Drosophila melanogaster: one gene and its partners. The protein of the gene in region 2 purifies or fractionates together with the protein of the main gene of each other region. This does not show direct contact. Each region holds a gene or a part of one and is shown on either strand. Other genes may lie near its edges.

The links.
Region 1: the proteins of Brca2 (region 2) and spn-A purify together in Drosophila melanogaster (affinity purification with western blotting; 2 studies listed by BioGRID, with this or other methods). This does not show direct contact.
Region 3: the proteins of Brca2 (region 2) and Rad9 purify together in Drosophila melanogaster (affinity purification with western blotting; 2 studies listed by BioGRID). This does not show direct contact.

The regions. Positions count from the first base shown.
Region 1 is NT_033777.3:30,053,644-30,057,592, reverse strand, and holds spn-A (spindle A), read left to right. Parts: upstream 1-1,555; 5' UTR 1,556-1,653; coding exon 1,654-1,731; exon of another isoform or gene 1,732-1,794; coding exon 1,795-2,727; 3' UTR 2,728-2,897; downstream 2,898-3,949. Other genes in the region: CG7950 (uncharacterized protein), read right to left, coding at 1-134; Rpp14a (ribonuclease P/MRP subunit p14 a), read right to left, coding at 150-453, 559-590; Rpp14b (ribonuclease P/MRP subunit p14 b), read right to left, coding at 1,038-1,344, 1,426-1,457; Jasper (JIL-1 anchoring and stabilizing protein), read right to left, coding at 3,288-3,949. UniProt on the Drosophila melanogaster protein: Plays an important role in homologous strand exchange, a key step in DNA repair through homologous recombination (HR). Binds to single and double-stranded DNA and exhibits DNA-dependent ATPase activity. Underwinds duplex DNA.
Region 2 is NT_033778.4:24,523,144-24,531,667, forward strand, and holds Brca2 (BRCA2, DNA repair associated), read left to right. Parts: upstream 1-3,028; 5' UTR 3,029-3,157; coding exon 3,158-3,902; intron 3,903-3,962; coding exon 3,963-4,034; intron 4,035-4,093; coding exon 4,094-6,192; 3' UTR 6,193-6,410; downstream 6,411-8,524. Other genes in the region: CG4612 (uncharacterized protein), read right to left, coding at 1,175-1,399, 1,631-2,329. UniProt on the Drosophila melanogaster protein: Involved in and required for double-strand break repair by meiotic and mitotic homologous recombination. During meiosis, has a dual role in the repair of meiotic double-stranded breaks and the efficient activation of the meiotic recombination checkpoint.
Region 3 is NT_037436.4:18,868,993-18,874,193, reverse strand, and holds Rad9 (Rad9), read left to right. Parts: upstream 1-1,640; 5' UTR 1,641-1,709; coding exon 1,710-1,743; intron 1,744-1,799; coding exon 1,800-2,026; intron 2,027-2,080; coding exon 2,081-2,232; intron 2,233-2,340; coding exon 2,341-3,196; coding exon of another isoform or gene 3,197-3,298; exon of another isoform or gene 3,299-3,341; coding exon of another isoform or gene 3,342-3,413; coding exon 3,414-3,515; coding exon of another isoform or gene 3,516-3,580; intron 3,581-3,633; coding exon of another isoform or gene 3,634-3,766; intron 3,767-3,823; coding exon of another isoform or gene 3,824-3,886; 3' UTR 3,887-4,149; downstream 4,150-5,201. Other genes in the region: Uggt (UDP-glucose-glycoprotein glucosyltransferase), read right to left, coding at 1-832, 1,016-1,244; Blos3 (biogenesis of lysosome-related organelles complex 1, subunit 3), read right to left, coding at 3,342-3,580, 3,634-3,766, 3,824-3,886; Grx1 (glutaredoxin 1), read right to left, coding at 4,222-4,317, 4,383-4,487, 4,548-4,691. UniProt on the Drosophila melanogaster protein: Component of the Rad9-Rad1-Hus1 (9-1-1) checkpoint clamp complex.

The sequences.
Region 1 (3,949 bases), on a different chromosome or scaffold from region 2:
TTGCCGTCCTTGGTGATCACGCCCTCCGGCTTTTCCGGCGGCGGCAGCTCGATGGTGCTGGGCGTGGCATGGTCCTCCTTGGTCACAAAAATCACCTTGTCCTTGCCGTACTCCTTGCAGTAAGAGAATGACATCCTGATGCGGTAATGCTAGTTAAATGCTACAAACTCCTCGGGGGATTCCTCAAAATCCAAGGGCTTTCGGGATGTGCTGAGCACCTGAAAATGGCAGGGCACCTCCTGGTAGTATCCTATTAGGGCTATAGCTACGCGAACGCGATCCAGGACGTTCTCGGGCACCCGGAGAATGGAGCGTTTTTGGCTGGAACTAAATTTCACAATTTCCAGTATGGTCTGGCCACCTATTTCGCCAAAAATACTAGCCAAGGAGCTATGGATGCAGCCACAGAAGAATACGGGCGTCAGAGTCACGGAGTCTGGATCACGGAGTTTTCTGGCGATTAAAAACGTGAATTATCTTAATTATATTTGCATGATGCACGTGCGCACGTGGGAAATACGGGGCTTTAAGGAGCGGGGCTGAGTGCCCGGAACTCACATCTTCACGTCCAGATATTGGTAACCACTCATGCTTTGGGTGCAAGTGCCAGTGCCCCTCTTTTTTTGGCGGAATCTTCGGGAAAAGTCGTCCAAAAGTTGCCGGTCAGTGTGTTTTTTTTATGTAATTACTCCCCTTTTTTGCTGTTTCTTTCTGCTTCTCAAACAGCTGTGCGCCGCCAGAGATGCCAGCTCGGCTCACAACGGACATGAGTAGTTATAAAATAGCTAAAATTATAGCCATTTATTAAAACATTTAAATTGTTATTGGAACTACTTAAATGCAATTTTATTAAAATGGTTACAAGTTTATGGGGTTTTTCCGCTTTTTAATCTCATTTAGTAGCCATCACAGAAATCATTTCAGTTCGTTGTGAATGACAAAAAAATCAGATCACAGTAAAATCAGTTAGGATTCAAATTCAAATTCTTCATGACGGTTATAATGTATATTACACTGAGTATTACAATTCGCTAGTCCTAATCATCGGACACAACCGCGACAGTCTTTTCAATGCTCTTCTCAAAGTCCAGCGATGATTTGGATGTTTCCAAGATCTCAAAATGACAGGGTATCTGCTGGTAGTGACCGATGAGCTCAATGGATATGCGGGTCATGTCGTGCAGTTGCTCTGGCACTCGAAAGATAACACGATGTTGCTGGGCGCAGAACTTCACGATCTCCAGTGTGGGTTTCTCCTCGCAGAAGAAACTGTCCAGGGCGTCAAGAACGCAGCTTCGAAACAGAGATGGGGTCAAAGCAACTGCAGTCGGATCCCGAAGTTTACTATTAAATAAATGAATATATTTACTGAATTTAATAACAACCAAGTTTATATTAATGACCGCAGAACATCATTCTACTCACAGTTTGATGTCGAAATAGTAATAGTTCGCCATGGTGATCTTGCGCGTTCCTTTTAAGCGGGATCCTCTGTAGTGATAGAGTTTTGTGCGTTCGGGGCGATTGGCAAACTGATTTTGCAGTGAATTGCGCGCCGCGCAGTCTTTGTCGAAATTCTCTCACGCAAGACGTGCAATTTAAATAACGAAACTCGAAACAACAAATAGTCAAATTTAACTTCGAAACTGTCAAATGGAGAAGCTAACGAATGTTCAGGCACAGCAGGAAGAGGAGGAGGAAGAAGGTCCACTCAGCGTGACTAAGTTAATAGTGAGTAGGCTGCGATCTCGACCAGGATTATTATGGGCATTCCCTACGATATCCTCCTCCTAGGGCGGCAGCATCACGGCCAAGGACATCAAGCTGCTCCAGCAGGCCAGTCTGCACACCGTGGAGTCGGTGGCCAATGCCACCAAGAAGCAACTGATGGCCATTCCCGGCTTGGGCGGCGGCAAGGTGGAGCAGATCATCACGGAGGCTAACAAACTGGTGCCTCTGGGCTTCCTTAGTGCTCGCACCTTCTATCAAATGCGTGCCGATGTCGTGCAGCTGAGCACGGGCTCCAAGGAGCTGGATAAACTGCTGGGCGGCGGCATTGAGACGGGATCCATTACCGAGATCTTTGGCGAGTTCCGCTGCGGAAAGACCCAATTGTGCCACACTCTGGCAGTAACCTGCCAGCTGCCCATCAGCCAGAAGGGCGGCGAGGGCAAGTGCATGTACATCGACACGGAGAACACCTTCCGTCCGGAGCGTTTGGCTGCCATCGCGCAAAGGTACAAACTGAATGAATCCGAGGTGCTGGACAATGTGGCCTTCACCCGTGCCCACAACTCAGATCAGCAGACCAAGCTCATCCAGATGGCGGCGGGCATGCTCTTTGAGTCCAGATACGCTTTGCTGATTGTGGACAGTGCCATGGCGCTCTACAGATCCGATTATATTGGTCGCGGGGAGCTGGCCGCCAGGCAAAACCATTTGGGCTTATTTCTGCGCATGCTTCAACGCCTGGCCGATGAGTTCGGAGTGGCTGTGGTAATTACTAACCAGGTTACTGCCTCGCTGGACGGCGCACCCGGCATGTTTGATGCCAAGAAGCCCATTGGCGGGCACATCATGGCCCACTCCTCAACCACGCGGCTGTATCTGCGCAAGGGTAAAGGCGAAACCCGCATCTGCAAGATCTACGACTCGCCCTGTTTGCCGGAATCGGAGGCCATGTTCGCCATTCTGCCGGATGGAATAGGAGACGCCAGGGAGAGCTAATTGTGCTCACTTATAGGTTAATTAATGCTAGGAATAGAGCTCCCTAACTTTCTAATGATTACTTATCCCTAGACTAAGAATTAAACTTCGTAGATTGTTTTTTTTTTTGTTTTAATGTTTACTTAGAATGTTTAGGATAACGACGAAATAAAACAGCCGTTGCGAATTGTATGTACCATCTATATTTAATTCAATATTATTCAAATCATCTACAAACTTAGAAAATATTTAGGGGTTTCGAAGCAAAAACCTTTTTTTTAGTCTGGTAATAAGCGGATGCAGCAGGAAAAGCCCCATCAGCGCAGCGTAACACGACATGCACCTGGCAGGCAAACAGAATTAAGGAATTTAGCTGAATTTTTAACCTAGAATTAAGCATAGCCCACTTGGCTCATCAAAACTTTGTCATCCAAAGCACGGTCTTTAAGTTGCCTGGTTTGTAACGCTTACGAGTAACTGCAAGAAAGAGGATTCTTGAAGATGTGTTTCAACTCAGCGGTTTGCGGTTTCCCATCCTACCTTATCATGTAATTGGTCCAGCAGAACTGGTCCTCGATCATTTACTGTGGAGCCGATCCGGCTGAAGCGGCGGCCTCCTTGGCCAAAACCAGGCTATTATATCCGCGCTCGTTCATCCCGACGCGAAGGTTTTCGTTGATATTTTTCGTATAGGTCTTGTAGATTTTTACCTTTTCGCAGAAGTCGATCCAAAAGTTGTCCTCGCTCTCGGGCTCCGGATTGAAGAGACTCTTGAAGCCATCGTATATGCCAGAGGAGACCTTGCGTATGGTCTGCGCCCTCTCCTTGAACTCCACCTCGTCGGACAGGTCCATTTTCCAGAGCTCCAGATTGCCCACATACCGGCGAAGTCGGCGCATTATGTCCACGCACTCCGGATTGCGCAGCAGCATCAACTTGGTGAACTCCACCTCCTTGAACTGCTCGAGGATCTCCAGGCATTTGCCCACATTGGCGCGCCGCAGGCCCAAACATTCGCGCAGCTGCTGGGAAAGTTGGATGAAGTCTCGCTCCATGAAGAGGGCATCCTCGTGCTCAATGAGCTCCTCGATGAATCGCAAAGCCTCCTGCTTGGGTATTTCGCTGCGTGTTGGCTCCACCACGATCCTATCGGGCATGGACTCCGGATTGATTTGGCCGCTCTCTAGTTTCAGTTTGAGCTCCAAGGCTTCTTTGCGGGCGTTCTCCATCCAGGCTTCCTCGG
Region 2 (8,524 bases):
TGTATCCATAATAATATTCTAAAAGATTTAAACATTGCACTGTGTACACTTCTTCTTGGATTGGTTACATTCAATTAGTTTTTCACTTTCATCTTGTTCACGTTACATTACGGTCGTTACTGTCTTGCTGTCCTGTTTTGTGGTTTCACTTTAGTTTCTGCTACTTGAAACAATGTACAATTAATTACAAAAATGTCTTGTAATCGCTAAAATTTTAATACTCATGTACTGTCCGCAGGATAGGCGCTGGGCCCCTGCTAATTCCATATCGGATCTCTCCTCTCCAGCTCTGACCTATTCCTCGTCCGCATCGGCGTCTACTCTATAAATTACGTGTAGGGTTCGCTTTCGCAATGGTTGCACTTGATTTCCTCGTCAAAAGTTTAGTTATAGCGTAGGGAGTTGTGAGTATTATAAACGCTTTCTAACTACAGCGTGTGGAGTTACATTAGATATATGTATATGTTATGTATATACGTGGAGTGGGTGCTTCACTTGTTAATAGGGGTTACATCAATTGTATTTTTTCCGTTTTTCCATTTTGTTTTTTGTTCTTTTTTTGTTTGTTTTCGTTTTGCTTTGTTTCTTGGTTTAGTTTGGTTTTAATACATATATATTAGGTAAGTGTAAATATTCATATGTTGCCCAGGACTGAGCTGGGCGTAGCTCTAGTTGCGATCGCACGATCTAGACTTAATGCCAAGGGGCCAGTGTGAAAGTTGGCCTTGTGTGGGTAAATACATTTCGAAATACGTGTGTGTACGCAATGTGTTCTTTAGGCGAGAAGCTGACAGCAAAGCCCCTGCTCACTAAATTCAACAGTAAAGACAAACATCTAATTCCAAAAAAACGCTAGTGAGTGCTAAGAAATTGTTGTCCTAATGCCTAGAAAATCCTTTCGGTTGAGAGCTCGTTTTCTGCCTCTCCCTCCCTTTGTTTCTGCCCTGTGTTCTTTCTATAAATTTCAACTGTGTTGCAAGACTTTTGCCTACATCTAAGTGTATATGCGAAGGAGCTGCCTCCCGTCCGTCTGCTGCCTGAATGTCCGCCTAGCTGCTCGATACAATTTCTCGTAAATATCTATATAGGTTTATATATGGGTGTGTATTGTATGTGTGTGGGTTCCAAGTCAACTCCTAGCGATGTCCTTGGATCAGCTGCCGCCGCCGAAGCCTTAGTAGTAGAATATCTGGCCGGCCTTCTGCCGCTTGCGCTCCTCCAGCTTGCGATTGATCTCCTGCTGCCGCTCGGCCTTGCTGAGGGCTCTTGCCACGTACAAGAACTTGTTGTCGCCCAGCTGCTTGCCGTGCAGGCCAATTACGGCGGCCAGCGCCGACTGTGGGTTCTCGTAGGCGACGAAACCGAAACGCCGGGAGCGCCCCTCCTCGTCCAGCATGAGCTGCAAGGATCGGAGAAAGCAAATCGATGATATAAACAAATTAGCACAGATGGGCCAGGTGGAGTCCTCATCTTCCCCGCCGTCACAAACTCCTCGTGGCTACATGGGCATGCGCAGCAATGGCGCAAGAGAGGACTTAAGAGAGTGCAAAACTGTGCCACATGGTTGTCGTCCAACCACCCGGCCCCACGAACATCCCCGTAGGGAAGATGAGGTGACCAAACAACGTACCTTGTGACTGGTGATGCGGCCGTAGGGCTCGAACATCTCGCGCAAATGCTGCTCGGTGAACTCCTCGCTGAGGTTCTTCACATACAGATTCTTGAAGTGCGTGGCCTTCTCCTGCTCCCGGTCCCGCCGTGGTATGAACTTGACCACATGCACCTTCTGATTATTGCACAGCATCCCATTCACCTTCTCGATGGCCGCTCGGGCGGCCTCCTCCGAATCGAAATGCACAAACCCATAGCCGCGTGAATTGCCATCCTCGTCTTTGGCCACATTGCAGTTTAGGATGTTTCCGAACACCGAGAACGTGTCGTACACCGCCTTGTTGTCGATGGACCGCTCCAGGTTCTTGATATAGATCTTGCCACTGTCCGGAGAGCTGTTGCCTCCGCTGCCCCCAGTGGAGCCGCTAGCCAGAGCTCCCCCGCCGACTCCCACGCCCACATTGGCCGAGTGCGAGGACGTGGACGTGTGCCCGCTGCCCAGGGAGTTGTGGCCATGCCGTCCGAGAACAGCGGCGGCCGCCAGGTGGTTACTGGCTGCGTGCCCACCGCCGACGTGGCTCAGGTGACCAGCTGCAGCGGCGTGGTGGTGCAGCTGCTGCTGGTGGTGCGCCGCTGCCAGCGTGTGGTGGTTCAGGGCCGGCTGCTGCTGGTGGTAGTTCGCCGGATTGCCGCGGAACGTCATGGAGTTGACGAACATAATGGCTGCTGGCTGTTTGTGGAGCGTGGTGGCGGCTAGTGGAGTGCTGTAGGTGCTGTAGGTGGATTCTGCGTCCTGGTGGCCGTGGCTCTGGATCTGGATACCGCTGTAGATGGGCCCGAGAATCTTGACGGCGTTCTTGTCCTGGTCCTAGTATTTCACTTCACTTCCCGATTTACCTGGGATGTCGGGAATCTGCGTTATGGCCAATCTAGTCGTAATCCAGCGGAATGCCCACTTACCAGGATTTGCACACGGAATATGACCAAGGATTCGCGGAGTTGAAAAAATCGTTTTTCTCTCGCACAGACTCTTTTCAACGCTCTTCGCTCTCTCTTTCTTTACCTCTCTGGCTCTTCCTTTCGCTCTTTTGTACTTTACTTTTTCTGGGGGCTTTCACTTTTGGGCTGATTCTTTGGGGCTCTGCTGGGCTTTCGCGTAACACTTTCCGGTATTGTTTTCGAGTGGCACCTAAACTAGACTCTTCAGCAATTGCAGCAGTGTAAAACCTGGTTTTTGCAGCTTCGGCGATGGCCCTTTATTATTTAATTGTATTTTATGCAAAAACTGTCGCTACTAGTGATTAGTGATGTTAAAAAACATCGATGCATCTGCCATCGATACGTGAGGCCTTCATGTTCTTGGCCATACCATCGATGACTTTCTCGCTCCCGATTGCTTAGCAAGTCCACCCTCCACAGTTAGCGGATAATGGCCATCAAAGCAACGCTTACCAACACTGCACCCCTTGTTTTGGAAATGCAACCACAAAAGCATTGGACACTTGCTTACTTCAAATAAAACACATTTAAACAATTAGATGACGTGATGGACCAGAATGGCGCATCGGGAAGTCATCCGAACAGGCTATCCCAAGGAAGAGGAGCCCATGCGCGCGAACGTGGCGCCACAGTTTCCGCGGCGGCAAATCGGAGTAACATTATCGACGAAATGGCCAAAATATGCGAAGCCGATCGCCAGACTTTCGCCATCGCTCGACGGACTCGGGGTCACGAGCGGCTTGCGGTGGACAACAGCGACTTCGTCGCCGTGGAGGATCTTATTTTGTCCTACGCAGAGCCCACGCCCGAGGACCAGGTCGAGATGATCATGAGCGACTTTTGCTCGTCTCCAACATACGCAGAGGATGAGGATGAGCCCAGCCATGAGTCGGAGCCGTGGTTTCGATTTCGCAACAAAAGGATCAGAACCTACAGCCGGAAGAGGGATCCCAAAAGCCACAAGGCCGTTCAAAACGAGAAGCGTAGAGGTTCCTCAGGCCTCTCCGTGCAGAGGGATCTCAATACTTCGTTCACATCTATGGCTTGTGATTTCGATGCTTCATCACAGAAGATACACGAGGTCCTTTTGAACCTCAGTCAATACTTTTCCGCGACCGCGACAGCTTCCGGTCCGACTCCTGTCCCATCGCAAATAGATCTGCCAACCGAAGCAAGGCAGGATTCTGGTGACGAGTGTTTCAACGCTGAATTGGAGAACTTGAGGGATGACCTGTTGCAGAGCGGATTTACATTTGAGGCCTCTTTCTATGAAAATGAGCATGAGCAGGAAGGTAGGGAGTGGGATCGATATGGCAAGAAACACATTTGTAACTCCTTTTATATGTACGTAGGTCCAGGAACTATGGCAGACACTATTTATGGCGATAGCATGCAATCGGTTCCCACTACGCGCCTCCGATTGGGTAATTCATATGCAATTTATGTTGTTGCGAAGTTCATTAATATAAACCCTTATTTATAGAAAGTGGAAAACGTAATGTTTGGTCTGATGCAGACTCTACATTGAAAAAAGCTGATGTCGAAATTGCTGAAAATAAGAAACTTTTGATGGGCCAAACGCAAGCAAAAAATGTTGACATAGAGGAGAACACAAACTTCATATTAGAAGGCATACCACTAAGTGAATGGCTAACTCCGATGGAACTGCCCGAGATCTCCAAAGATGTAATCAAACATATACCCGATAAAAAGTTAAAGTTGGAGCCAAGTTCCCAGAAAGAACAAAAAAGTAGCAAAGATTCAAATGCATCAAAGGTTAGAGGAGCCTCAAAACAATCTTGTGATATTAACACGAAAAACGAAGGAACTACTATTCTGGATCAGCCTAATGCTGCAGAGCAAGAAAACCTATTGAACGACGGCGAGCTTCTTGAGGAGTTTCTTTTTAATGATTGGCAACCAATGCAGTGCTCTAATGGCCCATCAACCTCCAAAAACGCAATTCAAGGGCCTAAAGAAAACATCAATTCAATAAATCTGGACGACAAGGAGCAACCAGAAAAGCAGACTCCTAATAAAAGTCAGACCATAAGCAGTCATCAACTTAATGGCATTCGAAAGAAGTCCTTCAAATTTATCGAGGTTTCGGAAGAAATGAAAATTAAAGGCGAAGAGTTTGTAGACAAAGTTGTATCCGGCCTATATCACTTTAGTCACAAGTGCAACTTACGTACTGAGGAATACTCCGATAATCATAGTCAAGTAATGGAATCAACACAGTGTGCGGAATTCAAATCAGCCCCAAGCAAGCCCATCGAAATATTGGATGGTAAGGAAACCTACAATGCAATAGCTAAAGTTGACGTTGGAGAAATAAATGGAAAATTCAGTCCTCTCAATAACGATACTATAGCAGAGCCCGAGTTTTGTGGCTTTCGCACAGCCTCAAATAAGGCAATTCCGATTTCTGAGAAGATGAAAATCAAAACTGCAGAGTTTATGGCTGAGTTTCAATCCAAAGAAACAATTCAACAAAATGATTATTTAGTCCATCAGCCAAATGACAAACCGACGTCTGTTGGACTTGATACAGCCTTAAAAAGATCAATAGAGAGTTCAGAGGAAATGCGATCGAAAGCTTCCAAGTTGGTGGTCGTTGATACTACAATGCGGGAACCGCATCAACCCACACTTGACCCAGTTTGCCGTGACTTAAATGAATCACAGTTTTTCGGCTTTAGAACAGCGTCAAACAAAGCCATTGAGATTACCGAGGCGATGGAGAAGAGAGGAGCCATGTTTCTGGCCCAGTCTAAAGCTACAGACCAATTAAACGGGTGGCAGCCAAGCGATTTTCCTGATGTTCTACCCACCTCTCCAAACAATGAGATTCATTCAATAAATGTTGAAAATAATAAGGCTGTGAATACTAAAACCGTATCTGAGACCGAATTCTTCGGCTTTCGTACCGCTTCAAATAAAGGAATTGTGATTTCGGAAAATACGAAAATCAAAGTTGCACAGTTCATGAGTGAATTTCAAGCCGCCGATGCAAGCACTGACTCGAACCAACCAACTGTGATCTCTGAGGAATCGAGAAATATTGATGCCAAGTTCGTAGATGAAGCGGCGGCAGAAGACAGTGCCAACAAGCCAACTTTTTGCAATGTACAAAGTCTAAAAAATACCTCAGATATTGAGCATTTCAAACACGACTTCTTCGTGGAGCATTCTGCAAAGGAAGAGCATCCGCTGTGTAGCCAGCCATTGGTGAGGACACCCAGAAGGTCGCAGGAGATCCACTCCTCACTATCGCAACTTGCCGGCAAATCACCACTGGACCAGGCCACCAAGAAGTCCGTAATAGCTCGCCGGAACCTCCTGTCACTAAAAAGAAAGCGAAAGATCATTTTGTCAACTGAAACTTCCACTTCCTGCGCCTTACCCACTATGGAGCGATTCGCTCCCAAGCCTTCCTCGACAAGTACTCCGCTGGCCGACAGGGACTTAAATCGCTCCAAGGACTGTACAAAGAATAGACAGGATGCGGAGGACATGTCCCCTATTTGCATGCAACCCAAAAAGAGTCGAAGACTTGGTCTGAGTCGAAGTCGCTATTAGTACACATTAAGTAAGCGTTGCTTTATACCCAAAATATTTAAACCGCTGGCCGATTTGAAATGGGTAGAGATTTAGTTGAATTAATTAAGGTATGCCATTAGTGGTCTCATCATGACAGATTGAATAATTGTATAAGTTATCATAATAAGCGTTTTTTGTTAAGTGCACCTTATAAGGAAATAAACGATCCGATAAGGGCCACCCGCTAACCAACTTCCTTAAAGGTGCCCACTTACGAGTTCCGCGAAAAAAACGAGAAGAGACGAAATCAGTCCCACAGTTCACAAAACAAATGCGAAAAAGTAGTAGTCCAGGTCGAATGCCTTAGCCGGCGGCTCATCATCGCGCATCAAGGTATAGATTCCCTGATGGATGAGCTCCCGGAAAGTGTCCGCCTTCATTTTGATGCTGATCCCGTGCTCCTGCAGGCGCCTCATGAACTCACTGGTCATCGCCAAGTACGGCAGACTGTTGGACACGCAGTAGGATTCGAGGGTAAAACCCACGGCCTGGCGAATCATGTTGAAGCGCGGCGTCTTCAGCAGGTACTGCTGCATCAGGATCAGCTCCAGGCGGTCCTCGTACAATATGTATATGTAGCTCTGATTGAGCCCATCCCGGTACGCCTTTAGCAGGGTGGCGTTCAAGCTCAAGCTGTTCCTGCGGAGCCGTTCGGGCAGGAAGGTTTTCGCCTTCATCTGACTTCTGTAGTACTCGTCGTGCAGACTGGGGTAGGGAGCCCTGGCCAGATCCTCCAGAGTGTTGTACTCCTCGTCGTACAGCCCGGATGTGAGGATGCTGGAGAGCGTGGCCAAGTAGACGTTGGTCAGTATAAAGCCTCCGATCGTTAGAATGCCATGGATGGCCACGTCCCTCCAGCCAGCAACTCTGATTTTCTGGTGGCAGTTGTATAGGATGTGGCTGAGGCTGTACAGCAAGCACTTTCCAATCTCGACTCGTGCTCCTCGCGCAGCCAGATGCAGCATTACGGTTCCGTACAAGACAGTCGAAATCACGACCGCCCAAAGGGTCCAGCCGAAGGGCTTGGAGTAGTACAGATAACTGGAAATCGGACGGGCGTGGGGAGCCATGAAGTACTCGCGGATAATCGAAAGTGGTGCTGTGTAGGCCACTTCCAAGCTGAAATCTTTGAAGTAGCAAACAATGTCGATCTTTTTTGTATGTAGCATTTCAGCAACGGCCAAGTATACATCATATTCCGGCAGATCGGGTATGGGTACACTCTCGATGGTGGCGTTATAGCGATAAGTCAGCTCCTTGACCGCTGTGAACAAATATCCTGCTCGCACCAAGCCACCCTGTTCGTTGGAGTACTCAAAGTCCCGAGGAGCTAATGTGCTTCGAAGTATGCGGACAGGAAAGCCTTGAAAGTTTCGAATTATCCTTGCGCGATCGAAATACTCGGACACATTTGATAGGCTGATCGGTTGAATGCTAGGATACGGTAGGTAGCTGTAGAGGCCCTTTCCGCTCATCAGAATTACATTTACGAATCCCTCCTTGAAGCAGTAGGTGTAGAGGTCCTGTTTCGGAAATCCTGGTTCCTCATTGCTCAGGAACACTATGTGCAGCTCATGGAGCTCGTCCAACAAGCGTGGCAGAAGACTGGCAACCAGTGGATTCAGATCTGAATCCATTACACTTACTATGATAAGGGTACTCTCTGTGAAGTTTCCCCGAATTCTAAGATCTCTAGCTTCCCTCGAGTTGGAGGAGAGTAAAATTCTCGGCGAGTCCAATTTGTGGAGTATCTCTGAGGTGGCGCAGCACTCAAAATCGATGAACACATTGAGCTCCGTTTGGAGAGCCAAATTGAGATCCTGGAGTACTTGGACTTGCATGGATTCCGAGTCAGAAGCCCCGACCAAGCACAGAAGAACTGACACCAGCAGAAAAGAAATCATTTTAATTACCATAAGGCAGCGGGAAAATGCTTTTATAGGCTGCGTAGAATGCCCACATGACAAGGCAAAAATATTTTCAGGTTGCATTTAAAAGGATAATGGATTAATTGCCATCCACCCCATCAAACCAAAGCTCAAGAAGACAAATGTCATATTACTCTTCCATTAACCTAGTGTATATTAGCAAATAACTCAAGTCATTTTAGCTGTTTGAGTTGCAGGATGAAGTAGATTCCAAATCAAACAGTTTTGAATTTCCCGCCCACTGAATGGAAACTTTCAAGCACTGGCAGCTCCACCGATATATGCCTCCAGTTCTGGTCGCTGTCCAGCACTACCATATGTGCACTTTTTATTCCCATTCCAATTCCAGTTGGTAAGAAAAGTGTAATTGTTACGTTGTGGCA
Region 3 (5,201 bases), on a different chromosome or scaffold from region 2:
GTAACCTTGTGGGCCAGCAGGGTTCTGGCCAACATGGGGAAATTATGGGCAGTATATTGAAGAATTTGTAGGGTTTCATCACCCTGTATTTCTGCAATAGCAGCGGCCGCCTGGAGACCCAAATCCTGGAACTCCCATGCTTTCAATTGGGCGATCTCATCGTTTCCCTGAAGAAGCCTCTGACGCAGTTGATCCAGCGCTCTCTTAAGTGTAGGATGCTTCTGCTTCAGCACCTTGAAATCAAAGCCCTGGACGTCCGATTCATTAGCCAAATCCTCATCAGAAGTGGAACCAGCTTCGGGCTTTGGAGCATCATCCTGACTCTTGTATTCCGTTGACTTCAGATGGAGTTCCACTCCATAGCCCGAAAGTCGTACCGGTCGCTTGTCCTTCTTGGCCAATTGATGACGCAAGATGTAACGAATCCGGCCAGCATTGGCTTCCTTTTCCAATAGTTTGTGATAGGTGCGGAATTGAGAGCTTCCCAAATCGCCGTATAGTACCACAGTGCGGGTATTGTTCTCACTGCCAGGGAAAATGTGATCAAAGCTGTAGGTGACAACAGAAGCATCCAAGCTATCCTTGGCGAGCGGCACTTCCAGCTTCTTCTGCAGCTCGTTAAAGCTGCAGGCCAGTTCGGAACCCACCTGGGCAAAAGTAAAGCTCTGACAAGAGCCACTGCTCCTCAGTTCCTCGGCCAACTGGAAGTGGGTCTGGATCCGGGGCGTCAAGCTATGCATGGATACCACCAGCCTAAGCAGGGGCAATTGGGGAGAACTCACATGGCTCTTGACCAGCTCCAAGGCGGCATTGTACTGTTGCGACTCGGTATCTGAAAAGCGAAAACGTAATCAGAAAAATAAATTACCCTTTGGGAAAAGATCACATTATAGGGCTTTGGGAATAGGTGATTTTATATTCCGAACCATTACTTGATTTTATATGGATTCGATTCACATTGAGGAGAATATAAAAGCTCTTTAATGCGGGTTCTCCATGACTTATAAACACAAACCATATTCGTTGAGAACCGTGTCCAACTTGGTCACCCCCGAAACGTAATCCCAGAAGAGGCCCGCCTGCTCATCGGCCAGATACTCGGCGATTTCCAGATATAGGGGCGTCTGCGTCCATTTCGCGTTGATTAGCGTGGTGATGGGATAGCTCTGACTGGATTCCCCAGAAGTTGGCGTATATAGTGCTATGAGCACCACAGACACACACAAAGCCACGGCACGTAACATGGTTTCCACTTGTTTTAACGTAGATTAAACCACGCACATTACGTATACTAAGCGTAGAGAGGAACTTAAGGCTTTCCTTCTCCAAATATTTTACTTTTCACCAGTTTTCGGCTGGTTTTAGCCCAGTTTTTCTTAATTTGATTTAGAACTGATGTGGCGTTCGTTGATGAACCGGCATGCCGCAGTGTGACCAGACTACATTGGAACTACATCGGGTTGAAGAACTTATTTAAATTTATTTATTTTACGGACAATTGTCAATATGGAAATATTTTGCTTTAAATTATAAAAGAAATTATTGAAATATAAAAATAGTACATACTTACTTCAAAATGCATAAATGGGTAACTAAATTCCTTTGTTGGTATTTTTCATACCTGTTGTGCGACTACTATCACTCTAATTTGTTTGTTTACAAATTTCAGCGCGAATTTCGCGACCAAAAACATAGTGCAAATATTGCCAATGAAATACACTTTAGAGGGCAGCAATGCAAGAGGTACCACATAATAAACAGCAAAATATATTGATAACTAAAAGAATTCATTTTTTAAGTCATCGCCAAAGCCGTACAATCGCTGTCCAAGGTGGGCAAGGAGATGTTCATCGAGATCGACCAGCAATCCTTGCAGATGCGGGCCATAAATGCCACCCAATCCGCAGTGGGCAGCATATCGTTCAAAAGATCCATGTTCGAAGTGTATGACATGCCGCCGCACTCAGATTTCTACTGCAAGATCTCCATGAAGGGATGTTTGGCCGTGTTCCGCAACATGAATGAGGTAAGTTCGAAAGTCTGCTCACTGGGATTAGTTGTTAAGAATATTATGTTCCAGGTGGAGTACTGTGAACTCAACTTGCTGGACAACCAGACCAACCTGCAGGTGAATCTCCGCTGTAAGCTGGAGACCACAAAGGAGGCCACCATTTCCATCATAGACGACCAAAACATTAACACAAACATTAACACCGATCAGATGCCGAATATGTGAGTTTTGGTTTGTGTTAAGGATAACTATTAAGTTTATCTCCTTACCTTATTTCTCTTAAAACAACTATGCCCATATAAATCCGAATTTACTACTCAACATTTCAGAATCCGTGGCGATCACAAGCTGTTGACGGATATATCCAATAACTTTAACTCCTCAGAGGAGGAACTTACTTTGGAGGCAAACTCGGGCAGTGTGGTGGCCAAAAACTACATAGAAGGAGCCCGAGTTAATGATAAGTTCATGCGCACGCAGCTGAAACTTAAGCCCAGTGAATTTGAGCAGTACCAGGTAACGAAGGAGACGGTCATTACATTCTGCATTAAGGAATTCCGAGCATTTCTCCTCTTCGCCGAGTGCTTAAATGCTTCGCTGACCCTGGAGTTCGACGAAGCGGGCATGCCTTTCCTGCTCAAAATTAAGAAGCATGGCGAGATTGAATGCTTGCTGATCATGTCCACGCTATCCCCCGATGATATAAGCTTCTCGGAAGATTATTGTCAAAAGGATCTGACAGTGCAGGATGAGGATGTACGAGCGGCGGCCGCAAAGCGAAAGAGCAGCGTTTCGAAGCCGAATGTGACCAACAAACGCAAAGGCAGCTCTTCGGAACCGGCTGCAGTGCAGCCAAAACGGCGAGTTGAGGAGACCCAATTAGAATCGAGCCTAGATAATCCACTGTTTCAGTTCCGGGACTCGGAGGCGCCATCTGTTCAGCACCCTCGCATCCTAGCCGAGGTGGACACTGTGGTTCTGATTGAAGATGAGGCGGAACAAGAGGCTCTCATGCTGGCAGCCGCGGATGCCGCTTTGGAGGCCAGCATGGCACCTGCTCCAGAGCCGCCGAACAGCACGGAGGTTTGCTTTATCAACACAGACGACTCTCAACAACCTAAACCTGCGAAAAGCTCCTCCGACGAGGACGAAACTATACCCCAGTCACCTGAGCGCCCTAACAAGGTGCGAACCATCTTCTCACGTTGCTTTCAGAGGACCTACGTGCCGCGGGAGCCCTCACCCAACACTCAGGTCTATGCGCCCAATTCCGATACAGAGGATTAGCCTAGATTTGATCGTTTATCAGCAAATACACTATACGTCTAAGTCAGGTTGCCTTCTGGATGCTTATGTGCGGGAGGAAGTTGCTGGTAATAACATCAGCCACCCTGTTTTGCAGGTCCTGGGCGTTCTTCTGGGCCTGCTGCAGGGATGTGTGAGCCGACTGAAGACTATGTTGCGACTTGATGAGCATTTGATCAGTGGTTACGAGCTGCTTTGATGCACTCAACACAAAGCTGCGAGTGAAAGCGGTAAGGGATCTCCAAATGGCAATGTTGTTTTCGACTGGAAAAGGGCATTAAGTTGAAATGTTTGAAGGCACAGAATTGGTGACATACTTAGTTTCCGCTGAAGCAGATTATTCCGGTAAATGGAAGCCGTGCTGTTGACCTGGTTGCTGCTTCGGCCTTGCTCGTAAATGTCTTCATCATCCTCTTCGGAGGCTTCGCCCGAAATTTCAGCAGCAAAAATCTGTCACAAAATGGTTTTATTATTGGACTGTTATTTATAAATGATATCCTCAACAACCTTATTCTTCTCCTGCAGCTCCTCGTCGGATTCAGAAGCTTCACCGCTCACCAAATCAGCCATCATTCAGTTTATTAAATACTATTGTAAACAATTTTTTATTTACTGCAGTTACGGCGCTGCCAGATCAGTTAAAACTGCAAACTGTTGCTCACATGGGCGCAGTTGAAGGGGATATTCTTATGTTTGTGATATCTATGCTAACAGATCCGTAGAACTACAATCATAAAAATTATTAACGGATAATGAATGGTATTAGTAACACTTTGCCCATTACTCAGAAGACGATGTAATCTCAATAAGCGCAAAACATAAATTTTAAAAGCATTTATTAAGGACTTTGAAGATTAACAAACTTTTTACATAAAACGGAGTTCTGAACAGAGTAAGAACACTATTTATTGGAAATATTTTTGCAGAGCTCCTGTCTCGAACATTCGTTTGATGTCAGTGCCACCGCCAATGAATTTGCCATCGATAAAGACGCGGGGAACCTACACAGTACACAGGTTACAAATGATAATTAATCTTTATAATGTAAAATATTTAGTGCACCCACCGTTCTGGCACCGGTAATCTCGCCCAGAACTGCCTGAATTTCGTTGCCATCGGGATTTCCATCGAGTTCTATTATGGTGGCGTCCACATTGAGCTTTTTGAAGGGCTGGAACGCAAAGATGTTTATCACTGTTTGGGACTTTTCAAGGTCTCGCAACTTTCTCACCTCTTTGGCCATCGTGCAGTAGGGACAGTAGGTCTTGCTGAATATCACCACTTTGTTGCTGGCAATGGTGTTTTCAACGAATTTCGCCTGCTTGGTGGACATGTCGACTATTGGGGATCTCAAAGCGGATCCAACTGCACCCATAAGCTCGAAATCCAGGAGGGGGTACGGAAACTTGGGGGGCAATGCGGGGAGCAATGAAAGCTGCGACAAGTGTAAGCTGCGGAGAATTATCTCTAATTTAATCAGTTTTTTAATCATTGATTAGCAATCAGCTGTTGTTGCTCTCGCCAGAGCTGCCACGTTGTGAAATTACCATCTCGTAATCATAAACATGTTTAATATTTAATTTAATTTCCATATAATCATGCTAAGTTTAAGGAATCTATTATTGTGTGTCTATTAAGAAAAGAGAAAATCGACTGTTATAAAAACAATGTTTATTCAGCGCTGTCAAAACATGCAGTGACGGTGCCACATCAACAAATTTCATATACACTAGGGGGATTCCTGAAAATTCACTTTTACTTTGACTTCATTATTTGAAACTTATATTAAATTTGCCTATATTTTGTCCGAGATAGTAAAGCAATTTTGAAATTACTTTAACAAATTATGTTAAAATGCCTTGTATGTTAAAATAATTTGGCATTG